Linked DNA regions of Caenorhabditis elegans. The protein of the gene in region 1 interacts with the protein of each later gene in a pairwise test. Each region holds a gene or a part of one and is shown on either strand. Other genes may lie near its edges.

Region 1 (4,112 bases):
GACATACAGTAGTCATTTAAAGAATTACTGTAGTTTTCGTTACGACATATCTTGTGCGCCAAATACGTAATATTTTAATTATGAATTTAAAAAAGTTGAATTATCATACTGGAATGAGCAGTTTTTTCGGTTTTTGATTTTTCTAAAAATGAAATTTTTCGGAAAATCGAAAATTTTCCCTAAAAACATTGAAAAATCGAAAAACGGCACCCTTTTCTGAGACGAAAATTTATGATTTTCCGATATATAGAAAAATTCCATATTTTCGAAAAGCTTAAACTTTCGGCCATTTTTTCTTACGTACTCTTATGGGTTTTCTCATAAAAAATAATACGAAGACGCCGAAAAATAAAAATTTCCGCCATATCTCACTCCCACGGGTCTCGCCACGCTGGCAACAGGTTACTGTAAACCGACAGGAGTTACAGTAACCGTGTTGTCTGCCTAGCGAGACCCATTCGCGTAAGATATTGTGGAAAATTTCATTTGACAAATGTGATTACTTTTTAATTGTTTTTCCCTCATTTTCTAGACATCTTTTTCCGAGTTTTTTTTCTCTAAACGATTTTTGCAAACGATGATAAAAATCTGTAAAATGATTCTGACCAAAAAACCGCGCCGCACAATTGCAGTGTGGGCGTGGTTTCGAAAAAAACACGCGATAATTGCTCCGAGCACAAAACTCTTCTCTCACTCTCTTTCTCCGTCGATGGGAGATGAAAATGAAATAATCGAGAAGGCATTGAATTGGCAATGAATTTACTAGAAAACAAAACGGGGGAATACAATACATTATGATAAAGCTGAAAGTGAAATAAAAACTGTTTCTGTGTTTGCTCTGGGAATGGGAGTTTTGAGGGAAAGATTACGCGGAAGAAAACCGAATTTCATCGTTGTACTCGTAGAAATCAAGGTTTGGGAGAAGGGAGAAGGGGGAAGTTTGCAAAAAAAAAATAGAGAAAAGCGGGAATAAATACGAATCGAACAACAATCGATAGAGAGAGAAGTATTTAGTATCCAGCATTGTTGAGATAGGTTTGCATACTCTCGACAGCCTTGCGAACTTGTGCAGCAACTTCATTTGGTCCCTCGTAGACAGCAATCAAGACTGCAGACTTGGTCTTCACAGCGAAGAATCCAGTGTTCTCCTTTTTTCCGAAGATGAGCGATTCTTCGGTACGTGGAACGACGTAATGAACTCCTTCGATATCGGCTCCTTTTGCTGGAACTTGAGTGACGTCATTGAATAGGGCAACGAAGGTTTTGAGCTCTTCTTCGGATGCCTGGAAATTGGAAAAAATTAGAGAAGTTTTTGGACAGGAAATATTTCTTGTTAAAAAATTTGCGCTTTGAAATTTCCAAAAATTCGAAATTTTAAATCCAGTAACCCTAAAGTTAGCCTTTTTCCCCAATTTTCGCATTTTTAGGCCTCAAAACACTGAAATTTCCAAAAAAATCGGCTTATTCTTGGCCGAGATACTGGAAAATCACAAATTTCAGTCTGTGAATTTACATTTTGCAGGAAAAAATCTTCGAATTTTAATTTTTTTTTTAACGCTTTTTAACTCTAAATTTTCATGAAATTGAAAAATCTGAAAAAAAAAAGTTTAGAAAATTCCAGAGTAGGCAGGCTTCAGGCGGCTGAAATACAAGTAGGCTCTAATGTAGGTATCAGGCAGGCCACCTCGAAGGTAGTCAGGCAGGTAACTTGCCTGACCTTCAAGGTAGCCTAAGCCTGTCTGCTGCCTACTTGGGTTTCGAAGAAGTATAAACTATATGAGAAACAGGGGCTGGTAGGCAGGCACGGCCGCCTGAAGCCTGCCTAATCTGGAATTTTTTAATTTTGTTCGAAAAATAATGAAAATTTTGCAATTTTTGAGTGGATTTGCTAATTATTCCTGTAAAATGTAAATTCAGCGGCTAAAAATTTCGATTTTCAATTCAAAAAGTGAATAATTTCGCGAGATTTTCAGTTTTTTGGGTCAAAATGCGAAAATTCCAACAAAAATCGACCCCGCTAGCTCTTTTCAATCTCAAAAATGGGTCAATTTAAGGATTTTTCAATCGTTTCCAGTTTTAATCGATTTTTTCTCGAGCTTCTTCGATGATTTTCGTCCATTTCCATACCTTGAACACATTGTCAGCCTCAGTACGAGCCCAGACAGATCCATCAGCGGCTCCGACGATTGCACACCGTTTGATTGATGGAGCAGCGGCAGTCATTGTGTCGATGTAGGCATTCCATCCGGACATTTTTGTGTTTTGGAGGAGGTTGAAGCGGAGATTATACTGAAAAAATAAACATAAATTATGATTGAGATGGTTGGAGGGGTAATGAGAAATGATAATATGAAGAAAGAGCACAAATTAGGAGAAAAAGAGCATAAAATCGCTTGAAAATTACGGTTTTTGTAAACAATCGATTATTTTTTGATTTACTGCGCAAAAAATGGAATTTTAATGCCGAAATACCCAAAAATTGATATTTCCGCAGATTTTTTGCTTATCTGTGGTGTAAGTTGGTGGCGAAGAACTTGCGAATGGATAAAATGACAAAAACCAACAAAATCTCACTAAATTCACAATTTTCTCGCCAATGTAGTGCAAAAATTGAGCTTCTTTCATGAATTTCTTGGAAATTTTCTGTGAATTGAGCCGATTTAAACCAAAATTGGCATTTTACCTAGAGTTGACCAATTTTCGATGATTTTCAGACCATTTTCAGGCCAAAAAGGCGGAATTGAAGCTCGAAAACACCGAAAACTACCAAAAACTACGAAAATAGTAAATATTTCGAGTTTCAGATGTAGAAAACTTGGAAAAATTCAGCTTTTGGAAGATCTCGCCTCGAGAAATTAGGACCAACTTAAGGGAGAATTCTTTTTAAAAAAGCAACGTTTTGAGGCGAATTTTCAACTACTAGAGGATTTGAACTATCTAGAGCAATCTGAGAATTTAATTTCACAAGAAAAATGGCATAAAATCGCCAGATGACCCAAAATTGAGAGAAATTAAAGAAAACTTCCAATTTCAAATTCCGAAAGATGAAAATTGCTACGAAAACTAGAGGACATCTTTGACCACCCGGAACACTCCATCTAATTGGCTGGGCAAATGGAGAAGCAGTGAATGACAGTGAGGAAAAGCAATAGAGAGAAGAAGAGAAAGAGAATGTTTGCATGCCATCTGGTGCTCTCCTTCTTCCCCTTTTCAACCCGAACAACGAGCTTGTGCTCCTGCTCCTGCCTGCTTGCTCCGCTGGTCAGTTATTCACCCATAAAGGACGAAAAGAGAGACAGAGACCGCCCATCAAATTGAATGTGTGTGTACTACTAAAAGAGGGTGAAATAACCCGCCTCAATCCATACTAATGTCAAATGCAGTTGCAATTTATATTGAACACACAGACCCAGAGACACAACCAAAGCCAATGATGAATCATTTTGAAGAGAACACAGCGAAGACGACGGAGGAGAAAGAGAACCAAAAGGCGATAGAAGACGAGTTGCGAAACAATTCAATTTGAACAAAGCTTTCTAGCTTTGAAAATTGCGAAATTGAGCGCTGAAAATGGATCTTAATGCCGAGAATGACCAGTGGATTGCGAAATTGGAATGGTGAGTCACATGGAACAGCAGGTCGCCAAAAATCGTCGAGGAAGCTTCAAGTTGTTATAATATTCGCAGTTTTTTCTGCCAAGGAGATCTGAAAGTCATTTAGAAGAAAAAAAATACATCAAAATGCTCAAAAATCATAAAAATATTCGAAATTTTGATGATCGAAGCCCCAAAAAAGTCACGAAATAGTCAAAAGAGCCGCGAAAAACAGAAATTTCGTAGCATTGGCCGGATTTTTCTATAAATATTGCAGAAAACCCGAAGATTTTGTCAGTAAATCGAACGAATAAACTCCAGAAAGCGGAAAATGGGGAAAATGGGGAAAATTTTACATTTTTCTACAAAACACTCACTGTGAGCTGAAATTTCATCAAAAAAAATAGGAAAATTGAGAGTTTTCTAGTCGAAATCTTACGCTATGTGATAATTTTTATAGCTTTTTTATTTTTCTCGATTCACGACGTTATCGGATGCCGAAAATTGATAAAAAACTCT
Region 2 (7,989 bases), on another chromosome or scaffold:
CAATGATCATAGAAATCTTTCCTCTTGAAGTTAAATGTTACTTTCTGAAAGTTTATCTAACAAAATTTTCAGTTTTCAAACAATTGTCTTATTTTCAGTGTTAAAAAACCCACCCAATTGCCTTGATATCTTTGTCTCGTATCTCTCTCTCTCTCTCTTCTCAACGGCTTTACTATCCGGTTTTCTGTCCGCCTCATTGGCTCAGTGGCAGAGCGTCTGTCTAGTAAACAGAAGGTCGCTGGTTCGATTCCAGCATGAGGCACCGAATTTTTTTGAAGAAATCTTAGTCTTTAACATCGGATTACTGTAGAATTATCACATATTTTTTGAGAACGTATCCAGAAAACATTTTTAGACATTTTAAGGTGTTCTATCATTCGTGAAATTAAGCGATCATTGCACATGTAGTAATTTTCTTTAAAATTTATATTTGCACTTCAGTATTTTGAACGATCGGCAGTGACTTCATGCATGTGTGAATAGAAAATACACATTGTAGAGCATCCGGCCGGCGAACACGCTATCATTCATATTTCTGTCAACAGTGATATGTCTATGATAATCATATGCTCAAAAAGCACCACCAGCCTGTCCACTTGACATGAGTCTCCATTTTGACCGTCTCTCCTTCTCTACTTTCTCCATGAGTCCTCTTATCTCCTTCACATGTGCCCAATGACCCATTTGGCGGGAAAAATCAGACAAAAAAGAGAAGAGAGCAAGGGATTTGCATACTGTAAAACAGTGTCAAATTTCCTTCAAGAATGAACGAGCTTTATGTTAGCCGCCAAAAAACAAGTAGTTGGATTCCTTTTAAATATATTTTATTTATGAGGACGAAAATCCCAATCAACTCAACGATGTGTAATAAATATCTTAAAATGTAGGATTGCAGTTTATGAATTTCCGCGAAAACGTGAGAGTTTAAATTAAATAGGCTGTTCTCAGATACTAGATTTTAAGCAAATTATATGCTGGCTGAAAACATATTATTTCAAAACTTAATGAAGAATGAGCTAATCTCCATTCCCGAGTTCATTTTCTTGTTTTCCGGAGCACTTCTCAAATTCTCTTCCTCTCCCTTTTTCGCTTTCTCCAAATACCGAAGTGACTGTGTTTATTTTATATTTATTTTGTTCTTTTATCACTAGGTTCTCACACATTTCCTCCATTTCTCACTTTTTCATCCAACGACCCGCATGCCCTGTCGATTTGCCTGCCATTCAATTTGAATAGATTTCATTTTTGTATTTTTCTCCCCAAGAATCAGATGACATTCCACTTCTCTTTTTCCCCTTCTTCTCACTTTTCTAGAGTTCGCTGATTGCCTTCAATTTTTAGTTGGTTTTCTGTATATGGAAAATAACAAAGTCTCTATTTTTCGTAAGAAAATTATTTTCCAATCGGTTATTCATTTCTTCACTATTTTTCTCCCTGGTTTTTGATTTCTCTGCACTTGTCAATACAATTTCAATTCAATTCACGGTTTTACCTTCATTTACGATTAGATTTTATTACCTGTATTGAGGTTATTTTGACCGTTTCGGTAATCCGCTCCACTTTATTAATTCAATTCGTTCCGTTCAAAATCTCGTTCAGTTTGAAACATTTCCAGCTTAAAAATGTCTAGCGATGATTATGAGTCAATTGACACGCCACGTGTAGCTTCACTAGCTGATATGAATCGACTTCCTACCCAATCTCGTCATTCAAGTTATTCAACGGATGACGATGAAGACGTGACTCCTACACCATCAGCTTCTAATTCTGCTCCAAAAAATACAATTCTAGACCCTCTACAAGCGCAGTTTCTTCACCCGAATTCTGAAAATTCTGATATAGACGAGCCTCGTGTGCAATTGCGCGAAAAGAAAAAAGCGACTCGTGCACAAGATGCAACTGTTTCTCATTTCTTGGAAGATCAAGTTCCTAATCAGAAATTCAAAAGGAGAAGCGCTGAAAGACATTCAATGTTGGCTGGAGCTGCTGATTTTGCTAGTCGTAGGAGTCCATTTCATTTAAGTGGAGCGAATGGTTCTGGAAGATGGACTGATTTGTTCTCATCGAGCAGATTTAAACGAAAACAACGACAGAAATTAAATGTTCGTATCTGGGAATTCTTCTACCTAAAAATACAGAAATAACATCTTATTATTAGAGAAAAGTAATAATAATAATTAGAGTTTGCAAAATCCTCAAATTAATATTTTCCCCACAAGTATATTTTCTTATTTTCAGAATGTTCCATCATCGTCATATTCAAACAATGACTACGGTACATATGCAGGCACACAAAGTATTGGAGGTTTCTCGATTGCTTCAAATTCTTCAGGTAATATTTTTTTTCTTAATCTTGAAAATAAAAATTATGTCGCTAGTTAAAGGTAGAGTACGGTCAATATTGAAATTAAAACCCGTTCCTATGGTGCTAAGATGTCAAAATGTCATAGAACTTCTCAAAAATATTTTGAAATTTTTTTATTATTTCACAATGTGATTTGTGAAAAAACGGTGAAAACTGATTGTGAGTTTTTGCCACTTTTCTTTCACTTATTTTTGACTGTAGATTTAAAACATGTTATTATGATATTTAATAATTTTAGCGTCATAGGAAGCGTTTTTCAAATTGTTTTCCCATTGACCGTATTTCACTTTTAAACGAGCATTAAACTGAATTATTTCGAAGATCTCCATTTTCAATATAAAATAGTTCCAGGAGAATCATTTGCCTTGTCAGGAACTGAAGACGAAATACGAGAAGAATTCAGGAAAATTATGGTAATATTCTTTATAGAGTTCTTATTATATTTCTACTAATTTTGCAGCTCGACAAAGGTCTGCCCGAAGCTGATAAAATTATTTCTAATACGCCACTTGATCAAATGAAAATGATGATTGAGAATTCGAGAAAACAAGATAATCAGGCGAAGGGAAGGTCTCCGGAATGGGTTGTACGAGTATTGGGAGAAATATTGAAAACGAAAAACATTCCGGAATGCAAGCAGGATATTGTTACTGTACGGGTTCAGCTAGTTGGTCAAGGTGTTTCATTTCTTAATAAGGTTCGTTTTTTAAGATAGATATTGTTACTATTAAAATACATATTTATTTTCAGTTCGCCGTAGAAGTTCATGACGAGTCTGGTCGCACTGGAGCTGATCTTATCTGCTGTCTCTACTCATTAGTCTTGAAACGACTGAGAAGCAGTGAAGTTGGCTCGAAATATGAGCTTGATTTGATTGATTTCTTGCAAGAAATCGTCAGATGTGTCCGAACGCTAATTAATACACATGTAAGTTTGTATGTTTTCAGTCTAATTCTAATTCTACACTATTTCAGGTTGGCCTTGTTCTTGTATTGCGACGGAACTCTCCTGTATACTCACTTCTCATTCAAACATTATGCGTCCTGAACAGGCGAGAGCAAAACGATCATGAAGCAGCTGAGATTCGAGCTATTCGGGTTGATGTGGTTAGAACATGTTATACGTTGATTTTTGTTCAACATGATACGCTGTCAACTCCGATTGAAATGACTGGGTAAAAATTTTGAACAGTTCAAATCTTATTTAATTGAAATGCATTTCAGTCAACAAAAGATGTTCATGGAGTTGTCCTTAATAGCTAAAGCTGAATCCAAACGGCTCAATGAACCAGTTTCTCGATTTCGGCCCCTCATCAGCTGCATCGATTTTCTAGAATCCCGCGATCCAAAACAAGGAATGTACGTACTTCTGATGATAAATATGATGATCAATGGTGTCGATCGTAACATAAGTGATGATCAAATGTGGACAGAAGAGACGATGTGGCAAGCACGAATGAGATTAAGGAGTGAAGCTGCAAAAGATAAACTTCACAAGTACATTGAGGTAAATTTGATTGTTTCAGAAAAATAATCTTATCCCAGATATTTTCCAGAAATTCACTACATCTGAAACTGTAAACTCGCAAATTCGGGATGTTGCTCAGAACATGCTCACTGAGCACAATGCAGATTTGGAAACACTGATGGGGAAGCTTGAAAATGTAAAAGGAGAATATGATACCTTGGATGGATGTTTTGAACTTCTTGCCGCCAACTCTGAAGCCACCGGAACCGAGACAGTGCTCCTTTCAATTTTACAGCTTATGACTCTTACTAATGAGGATATGTCGACGAAAAGATCGTATATGAAACTCATCGAGACAGCCATATCAGATATTCTTCTGCATCGAACTCCAATCGATCCACAAGCGGATTATAAGTTTGTGTTTGAGGTTCCTGTGGCCGAGATCATTGGTTTGTGATCGAGAGTATATTGAAAAATTAAATAATTTTAATTACAGATAAAATGCAAGACGAAGAGATGGCCAAAAAAGTTCGACAAGCCACGTCGGCCAAACAGGAAGCTGTTGCAATGCAAGGAGAATACTGGAAAACATTATGTGATTTCCAGAAAGAAGCTGAAGAACTGAGAAAACATGTATATTTACTTTTTTAGAAGCGGTTTGATTGAAACATGTTATTTTTCAGATAAATGATCCAAAAATACCTCTTCCTCCGCCAACGAAGATGAACTTGTCGGCTCCATCCACATCTGCTGGTGGATCTTCAGCTCTACCGCCAATAACTGGAGGTCCACCACCACCTCCAGGTCTCCCACCAATCACAGGAGGGCCGCCTCCACCTCCTCCTCCTGGTGGTCTTCCTCCAATCACCGGAGGACCCCCGCCGCCGCCTCCACCGGGAGGATTGCCTCCAATATCTGGAGGTCCTCCACCACCTCCGCCGCCTCCTGGAGGATGTCCACCTCCACCTCCTCCACCACCACCGGGAGGGTTCAAGGGCGGACCGCCACCACCACCTCCTCCAGGCATGTTCGCACCGATGGCTCCCGTGATACCTGATTACCTTCCACCCAAGAAGGTTCCAAAGGTTGATGGTCCCATGAGAAAGTTCCCATGGGGAGCACATACTATCAACCCTCGGGATATTCCAAGAGAGTCGTTCTGGGTTGGAACAAACGAAGAACAGCTGACCAGCGATCGAATGTTCGATCGTTTACGAACCAAATTCGCCACGAAACCTGCTGCAAATAGTGGTACTCTTGGTGGTGTCTTGAATAGCAAAAAGAAAGTGAAGACAGCACAAGTCATTCATGACGATAAATTACTTCAAAAATTGGGTAAACTCGAAGAAGTATATCCTTTTTTATGATCTTTTTCTTGCAGGCATTCTTCAAGGATCAATCAAAATGTCGCATTCAGAGCTCAAGCTGGCGATTTTGGAAGTCAACGAAAAGGTTTTAACTGTCGGATTCTTGGAGCAACTTCGATCAGCAATGCCAGTGGAGAAGGAGCTTATTGACAAGCTGAGAGCGGTGAACAAGGCTCAATTTGAGGAAATGCCCGAGGGTGAACAATTTGTCACTCGTCTGCTCCAAATTCAAGGTCTTCCGCTTCGTCTCGACTTGGTTCTATTCAAAATGCGATTCTCTGAAGTGTTGAATGAACTGAAACCAGCCATGTCGTCAGTGATGGAAGCGTGCGAAGAAGTACGAGCATCTGAAGGATTCCGAACATTTTTGAAACTTGTTTTGGCGACTGGAAACTTTATGGGCGGAGCGACAAAAAACTATTCGAGTGCTTACGCGTTCGACATGAGAATGCTGACAAGACTGGTTGATACAAAAGATGTCGATAATCGGCATACTCTTCTACATCATTTAATTGAAGAAATGAAGAGAATCGATCCAAGACGAGCACGGTGAGTAGATTCCTTTACTTGCTTTCTCAAAATTTAAAAAATTTAAGATTTGCTCTCACCGACTTCCATCATTGCATTGAATCGTCCCGAGTGAATGCGGATGAAATTCGAAAAACTGTTCAACTGACAGAGAATAACATTAAAAAACTGGAGAACTGCTTAAAAGTGTACAAAATTCAAGGAGAACGTGATTTATTCGACGAGAAGATGCGGCCGTTCCACGAAAAAGCTGTCAAAGAGTTCTCCACAGTTTCGTCAATGTGTGGAAAGATGAAAAACGATTGGGAGTCGTTGGTCAAGTATTATGCATTTAACGACAAAAAATATCCGATGGAAGAATTTTTCGCCGATATTCGCACCTTCTCTGAGCAATATTCGAATGCTTGGAAAGAGTTGGATGCCGAAGCAGAAGCAAAACGAAAAGAAGCAGAATTTGAGACACAGAAGCGGAAGCAGCTGCAACAATCTCAACAAGAAAGGAAGCCGTTACAAGAGAGACAGGCGATTAATAGAGTGCCAAGAACTCCGGCTGCGATGATTCGAGTTTCGACTGGTGAGTTGATATTTTTGAAATTGTTTTTTAATATAATTTTTTCAGCTGCCGATAAGGCTGGTGTGCTCGATGAGTTGGAGCGTGCTACAGGAAATGCTGATTTCCTTCAAACCTTGATGTCTGCCACAAATTCTCGAACTCCTCGTTCCGGATTGCCAGCTCGAACTCGCGGAGGTGGAAGACTTGGAGGAGGACTTGATCGGCAAAGATCACGACATCAGAATGCTTTGGGTCAGCTTCAAGATCTCACTGGCTGCGCATCGGAACCGGTTCTTTCCGGACAGTTTGCTCGATCACGCAACGTTCCTCAAAATGATCTGCAACGACAAAATATGGAACTTCCATCATCAGTAAAACCAACAACGGCGCTTGATAGGGCTAAAGCATTTGGAGTTGGATTGCCGATTGGTCAGAATGAGCTCAAAGTTCGAGTGAGAAGGAAAGGGCAACCAGCTGTTCCAGTTACGGTAACATATTTTATATGTGGAAACTTTTCGAAATTTAACTTTCAGAATATCAATGGAACATCGCAAATCTCACCAACGCACAAAGAAAACGATCCGACGGGTTCCTCGTCAACTTCATCTGGTCCTGCATCATCAAACACGGCTACATCATCATCATCAGGCACAGTGGTGCCATCAACAGACGATCTTCTCGCACGTCTTAATGATTTCTGAAAGCTCACATCGGTTGTCTTATCTATAGATCTAGTCATTCTCCGTCTCTATTTTTTCTGTATTATTGCCACATTTTTCATACTTTAATTGTCATTCACAGGGTCCCTCTTCTCGTTCCATTTCAATTGCTCGTTGTATTTTCATCAGTTCACTTTTCCTTTCTATTTTCTTTAGGTAAATATTTTGAGTTTAAAAACGATTTTATTTTTATTGACATGGAACACAGGCATACTTTACCCGAGACATTCAAAAGTGAAATAGAAGAAATGCATTAGATGAGCTGAATTCGTAGTGTAAGTGCACGAGACAATGCTTCGTCGGATACCAGTATTTCTTCGCCATCGCTAACAAGATCTTTCATCGAAGTATGCAGATTTTCTTTGCTTTCTTGTTCAAATTGTGGCATGAAACTGCTAATACAGTAAAGTTTTCGAGTTGAGGTCGCTAGTGTCGGATGTTTGAGATGGCTGAAATTTGAAATTTGTTTTCTAAAACAAACGGAGAACGTACAAACGCTCCGAGAGTCTGATGATAAGCGATTCAAGAGTTGAAGATGGTGAAACTTCGAATGGAAGACGCCCACCACTACAAGTGAGACAATTGTCATCTTTCATCATTGAAACAACACTGGTATATGCTCCGTGAATTTGAGTGAAATTAAGATAATTATCGATTGGTTTGGCAATGCTGAAATTGAATATTGAGAGTTTTAATATGTGATCTTACATACTTTGTGGCCAATTTCAGAGCTTCTAGGGCACATGATGCAGCGATAACTGCATTTGTTGATGCAACAGCCGGAATAATTCTTTTTAGAACTCCAGATGTCAAACGACGATCCACACCTCGAATATTGTATTTTTCTGCACGAAGACTTGCTCTTTCGAGAACCCATTCAACGTGGATCGGATCGTCAGCGTCAAGAGAAACACCTGGAAATATAACTTTTTTCCAGAAAAAACTTTAAAAATAACACTAAAATTAAAGTTCGTTTCACCGATTTTTCTG

The links.
Region 2: the proteins of pfn-1 (region 1) and cyk-1 interact in a two-hybrid assay, tested with the Caenorhabditis elegans proteins (one study listed by BioGRID).

What each region holds. Positions count from the first base shown.
Region 1 is NC_003279.8:12,920,181-12,924,292, reverse strand, and holds pfn-1 (Profilin-1), read right to left. Parts: upstream 2,290-4,112; 5' UTR 2,254-2,289; coding exon 2,128-2,253; intron 1,284-2,127; coding exon 1,011-1,283; 3' UTR 745-1,010; downstream 1-744. UniProt on the Caenorhabditis elegans protein: Binds to actin and affects the structure of the cytoskeleton. At high concentrations, profilin prevents the polymerization of actin, whereas it enhances it at low concentrations. By binding to PIP2, it inhibits the formation of IP3 and DG.
Region 2 is NC_003281.10:7,022,830-7,030,818, reverse strand, and holds cyk-1 (WAPL domain-containing protein), read left to right. Parts: upstream 1-1,613; 5' UTR 1,614-1,622; coding exon 1,623-2,102; intron 2,103-2,238; coding exon 2,239-2,332; intron 2,333-2,716; coding exon 2,717-2,778; intron 2,779-2,825; coding exon 2,826-3,062; intron 3,063-3,115; coding exon 3,116-3,292; intron 3,293-3,339; coding exon 3,340-3,539; intron 3,540-3,588; coding exon 3,589-3,871; intron 3,872-3,920; coding exon 3,921-4,281; intron 4,282-4,328; coding exon 4,329-4,465; intron 4,466-4,515; coding exon 4,516-5,167; intron 5,168-5,213; coding exon 5,214-5,748; intron 5,749-5,795; coding exon 5,796-6,301; intron 6,302-6,346; coding exon 6,347-6,768; intron 6,769-6,813; coding exon 6,814-6,981; 3' UTR 6,982-7,177; downstream 7,178-7,989. Other genes in the region: rfl-1 (NEDD8-activating enzyme E1 catalytic subunit), read right to left, coding at 7,253-7,448, 7,492-7,668, 7,712-7,913.